Drosophila melanogaster: one gene and its partner. The protein of the gene in region 2 interacts with the protein of the main gene of each other region in a pairwise test. Each region holds a gene or a part of one and is shown on either strand. Other genes may lie near its edges.

The links. Proteins that work in one complex are often made in the same cells at the same time.
Region 1: the proteins of CG2617 (region 2) and CG14830 interact in a two-hybrid assay, tested with the Drosophila melanogaster proteins (one large-scale study listed by BioGRID).

The regions. Positions count from the first base shown.
Region 1 is NT_037436.4:7,260,886-7,265,520, reverse strand, and holds the start of CG14830 (uncharacterized protein), read left to right. Parts: upstream 1-1,600; 5' UTR 1,601-1,778; exon of another isoform or gene 1,779-1,889; intron 1,890-2,425; 5' UTR 2,426-2,572; intron 2,573-4,635.
Region 2 is NT_033779.5:20,680,792-20,684,154, reverse strand, and holds CG2617 (uncharacterized protein), read right to left. Parts: upstream 1,788-3,363; 5' UTR 1,707-1,787; coding exon 882-1,706; 3' UTR 526-881; downstream 1-525. Other genes in the region: Cen (centrocortin), read left to right, coding at 2,663-3,363.

The DNA.
Region 1 (4,635 bases), on a different chromosome or scaffold from region 2:
CTGAGAAATCTGTGCAGTTTTATGCAACTTTTATGACACCAGCCGAGGACGAAAAAACTTTTTACGACTTGCAGTGCCAAAGAACAAACACCAGACCTTCTCGAGCTGCGCCTGATGCGTAAAGTCAACAAAAAGTAACGAACGAACTACTACGAACTACTACTACCCTAAGGAACCGAGTGAGGGATTTAACAAAAAAAAAGTCCATCCACCTCTGCACACTGAATGTGTGTGCAAAAAAAAAAGTGCTGGCAGGAGAAAAACCTGAAATAGACAATGCACAAAGTATGCACAGGATCCTGTTCGTGTCAGAATCAAAGATATCCAACTTAGAACAGGACGACATTCGCTGTACGGAGCAAATAAAAAAATTAGTAAGGATTTGACACGCTGGAGATGGTGAACAAATATTTCACATATCTCTGTTTCAGAGGAAAGTTAAACAACTGCTGGTAAGTACACTTTTCAGTCCAGTTGGAAGCCATATTAAATGAAAATTAAATTTTTAAATAATATATACATTATTTATATTTTTTCAAATTATAATTGCAAAATAGAAAATAAACTAATGCTAACTGCGCAAACGGAAGTTGCACGAAAGTTGTTTGAAAATTTCGCGCAATATTTTCACACAAATGCATACAATGTACGAAAAATATGGCATGTAATATTTTTTTTTTACATGACTGACTATTTTGAATACCATTCAGCGTATAAATTGCAACCTTAAACGTTTACAGAGAGAGGGGGATGTGCGGGGAAAAGTGACCCAGAGAGTTGGGCCTCTGGCCCCATTATCGATGCCACTCATCCTAATGACATGATGCAAATTAAGCCCCCAACTTCTGCCGCCAGCCAACATGACCCCCAATGCTCCAGCCAGCAGTCAAAAGCATTGCACAGTCACGTGCGGCAGCTGGCCAACAGCGGTGCCTGTCAGCCAGTGGAGCCTAATGTAGTAAGCCCCCAATACAGTTCACCTCCCTGTAACCCCTGTAACGCTCCCTCACTACCACAACCAACACCAACTCCTCCCACCACCCACTTTACCTCCCGGTGCACTGAAAAAATATTCATAGGGAGATAATGTGACAAATTATAAGCAAGATGATTATATTTTATGTTAAAGTAAAAGTATCAAAGTCTATGATTTAAATAAAGATAAAAATAAAAAACATCTTTTAAATATTTTCTTATAAAACTAACCATAAGTTTACTTATCATACCACCACCAAAAAATTCTAAACTTCTATCTAAGAATTTCATAGAAAGAGAATCTTTCGTCACCTTTTTTTTCTCTGTGTGCGAATGCAGTGCACGTGTTGCAGAAGTTTCGGTTAACGGTTATTAAATGCAGTTTTTGCAGTTTGACAACAAAATGCAGTCGCCAAAAGTGCAAAGTGCAGATGGTGGAGACCGGCACGGCCAGGCCAAGAAAGCCACAGAGAGTGAGAGAGATGGGGAGAGTATAGTTGGGAAAGAGCCCGAAGAGTCGATAGTGAGGATTGAGTTGGCCAAGAGCGCAACCGGTTCGAGACGCGTTTTAGACCAGTTTAGACCACTCTCACAGGTGCTGGAACATTGTCGCAACTCTCGAGCGATCAGTTTGAGCCGTGATCGCAACGCGTTCGCTTCGATTTTTCCCACCGGACCACGGTGCATTTTGCAATCTCCGCGATTGCCAAACAAACAAAACAAAGTTTTACTCCAACGAAAAAAAAAAAAAAAAATCTGAGATAAATAACGCGCAGCAAAAGCAACTATTTTTAGCGGATTACGTGAGTGTCATTTGAATTTTTTCGACGTGAAGTATACGCCCGATCTGTTGGCGAGAAAAATAAGAAAAAGAAAAGAACAAACAGAGTGCTGGCCAAATTTGCTCGCCATCTGTATGTGTCTGTGTCTAAGCCAAAGTGTGTGCGAGTGTGTTTGTGTGTGTATTTGTGTGTTGGCCAGCTCCAAAACCTGCTGCTATTATTAGCCTTAGCCAAGATTATGGGCGATTTCATTATGGCGCTGCAATTTGCTGTGCCGCCGCAAAAAGCGAAACAAAAATGTAAAACAGTGCCTGGGCCAAGAAGATTTGAGCCGAGTTAGACGAGTTCCGATGTCTTGGCCATTGTGTTTAGGCCGCCTCGCACCGACCGATTCGAGCCAACTTGCGAGAAGCTGCAACGCCTTTCATTCATTCATTCATGGCGGCGCTGGCGATTATATCATTCCGTGTATTAATGTGTTGGCTGCCATTTTGGTCAGAACTAGTAAAGGTTTTTGGCCCACACACACACACACACGCGCACAAGCACATTTGCAAAGCGTCAGCGGCGACGATGTCATCGCCTTCATATTTCCAATTTACATTAATATTTTTCTCCACACAACCAAATCACATTGGCAATGTTTGTTTTCTCGATTTTCGGTGCAGCAGCAGCCAAGTGAAGTGTAATGAAATGTGTACAGCGGCCAAAAACTAACAACCTGTCGCATTGGCTGGCAAAAAGCGTTAACAATAAATAAGCGAAACAATACCAACAGCACGGCCAGTTCAACTGTATAACAATGAGGAGAGAAGGTAAGCCAGTTTTTGTATTTTTATTTATTTTGTAGCCCACAACCATGCCGCGGAATACATTCCCATATCTCTATATATGTATATATGTATATGAAGGGAAGTTGTGTGGATGCATAGACGAGAATACAGAGAGAAAAATCCAAGGACACATGTCTCATATCTAAATTAGATCATCTGAACATAAGCTAAACTCACTTGAGAATATAAATTACAATCAAATTAAAACGAAGTGCTTAAACTTTTAAGTGTGTTCAATACTACTACAATATGTTTAATGATTTCGTTTTTAAATGACTTAGGATCAAGCTGATTTATAACTAAATATTAAAATTCATCTAGTATTTTCATCTTATTGTAGTATTTTTCGGGCACATCAATTTTTCCAGTGCATGCTCAACTCGCTTATTTGCCAACAATTTGCTTTTTGGCGCAGTGTAATTGCATTTCGAGCATCTTAAGACTGCCATCCACCTTCAGTTTCAATTTCCGCAAAACGTTGAACCGAACTCAGCTTTTGCCTTTGCGTGGGTGGGTGATTCCATTGATTACGCACCGGTTGACCCTGAAAGTATCAGCCAAATGTTGGCTGGTACACTGGCCTTATATGAGCACGATTTTCGGTCTTTTGTCGTTCAGTTTGTTCGCCTTTCGATGGCCGCAGGAGGAGTGCTTATGTCATTTGTCAACGGACCAAAAATGATACTCGCTACCGAAATCCGTTGGAAATTCGAGTGAAAAGGCCACTCTTTGGTCATTTGGCAGCAAGACTGCAATCTGGGGAATTGCCTTTAGGCGATAGTGAGACCAGTACAAATGCCAATACCAAATGGATCAATGAGTGAAATTTAATGTGCTTATATGCATTTCATTTATTGCTTTCACTTTTCGCCCGAATGTGACAATCGTGATGGCAAAAGGCATATCGAGGAAATGCTTTGACATAAGCCCTTATCCAACCAGTATTATCATTAAGCTAGGAAAAGCGTTTTCAATGGGCTTATCTATATGGTGTATCTGCAGCTCCCATAGTTACCATAGTTCAGATATGAGAGTAAAAACCCCCCATGTAACTAACCCACTGTGCATAACAGAACTTGCTTTTGGTTTTGGTTTTGCTTGTTCAGTTGGTTGGATTTTTCTTCGGCACTATTTCTTCGTGTCTTCGCCGTTGGCCATGTTTATGCTTAAAAGCCAGCCATGCTTAGCACGCTGGCCATCCAATAAAAGTTGCAGCTAGAAATTCAAAACCAACGCCAGCGGCCAAGTGTTTCTAGTTTTTCTCTTAGCCCCCTTGTTTTTTTTTTTCTTTTGGTTTGATGACAATGTTTTGATAATAATGATAATTTTCTGTGTCTCTTATTGTGCTGGGGTTTTTTTTTCGTTTTTATTTTTTATTTTTGGTTTGGGGTCAACATGAAGTTATGAGTTTCGTGATTGCGCCGAATTCGGTAACAATTAGAGTTTTGGCAAAGATAGCTTTTCAGCTATCAGCTAAAAACCGATGCTCATGGTCAGCAGCGTAATTCGCAAGATACAGGGAAAGTTACGTAATCCTGCTGCGGCTGTTGCGGTTCAGCGCAGACAGGTTTTAAACGGCCAATTTGCAGCTGCACACGGTGCGTATACGTGTTAAGCGAGAAACTAGCGATTCATTGACTCCAAGCCACAGTAAAATTTAACCGAAGAGGGTATATACCCAAATGTATATATGCAAAATACTCATCAGAAAACACAAATCAATCAAAGCTAATCACTTTCGGCACGTTGGTTATATAAAGTCAAGTTACTATACACAAATATGCAAAAAAAAATAAATCAACTCCCAGCTTTCGCAGTCTTACTCATTTTTCGATGTTTGCGTGTGAATCGGAAAGACAACTAAAAACTGAACCTAAAAACCAAACCAACTATTATGCAGGTACGAATTATCCAACCAACTGCAACTTTCATCTGACATTTGAGGCGACTGCATGCAATTGAAATCTGCAAACCAACAGATGACTTGGTGATGGTGATGTCATCATCACATATATGTAATTAATGTCTCGTGTTGCTTGCACATT
Region 2 (3,363 bases):
ATATACACACTAACATACATATATATTTTACTATGTAACGGATAGAATTAAGCTAGATGCAGCGCATAAAGCTTTATACAACAAATTGAAAAGCAACAGAAGAAATTGGCACAAATTAAATTTATATAGCATAATTAGACGTCCTTCGCAAGATAATGTTATTCGTAATAAGAGCGTCAATCGGTACATCGGGCGCTATTTCCCACTACACCCCCAACCACACAATAGATAACCTAAGCTATGTATGTACATTAGCTATGTATATCCAGCCCACTTATGCGCCTACTACTAGAAATGCAGAAAGCAGAAAGAGAGGTGAAACCTATAGACGCTATCACAAATGTCTATCTGATAGACATCGGTACTACCAATGCTATATTGCCAGTTGTGTAATTTACTCTTATTTGATCGTTTCATTTACCAGTTAAGAACCCAAATCATATAAGTGTTATGATGGAAGAACTATAACTTGCAATTCAATTAACTCTGCAATACGATAACAAGCAAAGCGAATCATTTCATTTCGATTTAATCTTTAATTATATATACTTAAACGATGTAAGCCCAAAACAAACGTTTTTTCTATATCTGTCTTTTGAGCAAATTAGTTATACGCAAAACCAAACCGTATTTACATAAATGTATACAAAACAAATCGTATATTTTCATTGGTTTGAAATAAATACATAAAACAATTTAACTTGTTTTACTTGATATTTTAGGTGTCTGGGAATTGAAAGCTGCATTAAAATGTTTTGTCTGTTCTGCTTTGTAAAGATTATTTGTTTTTTCTATTACAAGTGTCTTAACCAAAGACATTTGGTTAACTTCTGAGAATCATAATTACTTATAAGTTAAATTCCAATTGGCAGTCTTATATATCAAACGTAAACTGACAGGAACGACGTAATGTTGTGCCTGCAGACAGGACAGCGGTCTTCTAAAAGGAGCACGAGCTGCAGGGAGCACTCTTTGCAGAGGCAGAGGTGCCGGCATGGCATGACTACTACGTTCCTGCTTTGAGCCATGCACACGACACAGCGTTCTGGACTCGCGGATCCTGCGTTCTCTGACACATACCAAACATTGTGTATGAAGTGTTGCAATTTATGATGGGTCCATAGGTAAACGCTTTGCGTCTTCGTCGAGATTTCAATGCGTCCACGTTGCAGCAGGTAGATGAGCATCAGGTACACATAGCGGCGGAACATATAGAGAACGAGGAGCAGGGCCAATCCTATCGAGGCCCGGAACGCACTGTTCAGCAAGCTCAAGCCATGGGCCACGATTGAGTGCACCACAAAGTCTAGGAGGCAGTCCCAGAGGAATAGTATGGCCCTCGGCAGCAGCATCAGCAGCCACAAGATGCCATCACCCAGATCGATGAGTAAGTTGCAGATGAATCGGGATATGCAGTGACCAAAATCGAGTACATTCTTGAGCCCGCCTTTGGTGCCGCCGTAGAAGTAGTCCGCCACATCTAGCGTGATGAGGCCCAAGTCGCGGATGCCCTCGTTGATATTCCTGACCGCGCATCTCAACAGATTCCATCCTTTCCTGCTGCCCTCCACCAAACAGAAGCCGACGAGGTAGCTGCCCCACAGGAAGTAGTACACGCCAGTAATCACTGCATCAATCACGCTGGCCAGCGGACGCAGCAGGACCAGATCCACAAGCTCCGCTGCCCGAATTAGAGCGTCCAGCATGGCGGGGGGCTCATACTGTCCTCGAATTAAGAAAAGGAAGAAACACAAAATCAAAACAAGAACGCCGGCCGCTTAGTGTGACCAGGCGGTGGTTGGTAATTAAAGCCAAGCTATCGTTGCGATAAGGTAGCGTCAAATAATTACTTATCTTAAATATTTGTATAATTAATATATATATTTATTTTTAACACCCCACACATTATCGGTTGCACTTCCTAGATATATTTAAACTTAGATGGTATCTGAACTTTAAATACGCCAAATTCTAGGGTAACTTAAATTAATAATGTTCAAACAAATATTTTGCTTCTGTGAGCAAAGGAATTACTAAGGAGACATAACAATTTGGATTTATTAATTTTGACAACTATAAATATGCGTAATAATTAATATGGGTATTCATGTACTGATCTATTATGATATTGCATGCTTCTTTCAAAGACAATGAAAGCTCAAAAATATAATTATACATCCGTGCATTTTGCTGGTATTTCAGAATCCAACAAGGTTTCCCCAAACAACTCGCGAGGGGTTATATAAGAAAGGCGAGCTTAAATCATAGCCCTATCTGAGCAGGAATCCCCCTAATGCGAATAATCCTATTATAAATTTATTTCCGGTTCTGCTAGGAAGTTCATTTCGGTTCTTTGTCTGCAGGTCGATTGTGTATAATAAAAAGCATTAATTAACTATTCGTACATGCAGTTGCGCCCTAGTACGTAGGGCTTTTTCTGCACTCGCTGCAATACCATACTTTTTGTTTTTGGGGATGAAACAGTAAAAAAGTTACTGTTGTAGCAGTTTTCCACCATTGAGAGGACATTTGCCAAGTAATTACTGTTTGAGTTTTGCTTTGCTCACAAAGCTCTGCTGCTAAATGAACTAAAATCGATTAAATCTTTAAATTTTCGCCAGAGTTCGCATCAAGCCCAAGCTTAGAAAGGTCCAAGTCCAAGATGGAGGAATCCAATCACGGTTCGGCTGGCTGTGAAAACGTATCGCAGTTCATGCTCGATGACCTACAATTGGCAGCAGAGCTGGGAAAAACGCTCCTGGAACGCAATAAGGAGCTGGAAACCTTCATCAAGGAGTACAAGATTAAGGGGGATGAGCAGGAACTGGAGATCTTGCATCTGCGCAAGCACATTAATGCGATGACCGAGGTGAATGATTCACGGCTTAAGGTCTACGAGCAGCTGGAAGTGGGCATTCAGGATCTGGAGCGTGCCAATCAGCGGCTAAATCTGGAGAAGAATCGGGACAAGAAGCAGATTAAGACGCTGACCACCAACACGGAAGTCCTGGAAGCCCGCTGCGAGGAACTGAGTCAACTTCTGAGCGATGCTCGGCAATCCCTGAGCACCGAGCGGCGGAAGGTGGATCAGTACCAGCAGGAACGCTATAGGATGCAGCATTCGACCGAGGGTTCTGTGTCCAGTCACAGCATTCAATCGCTGTGCAAGGAGCAGAGTGTTGAGTTCTCCAAACTAGATGTTATGGCCATAGCGAACTCGACAGGATTGGAGGATATCTCCTTCAGTAATGCCACCATGTGCGAGAGGACCGCCGTTAAGGGTGAAGACAACGAGGAATTGGTAAAGCTGCTCAGCGAAATGGAGGTGTTAAAACGTGACTTCTTGGCCGAACAGCAGCGGTG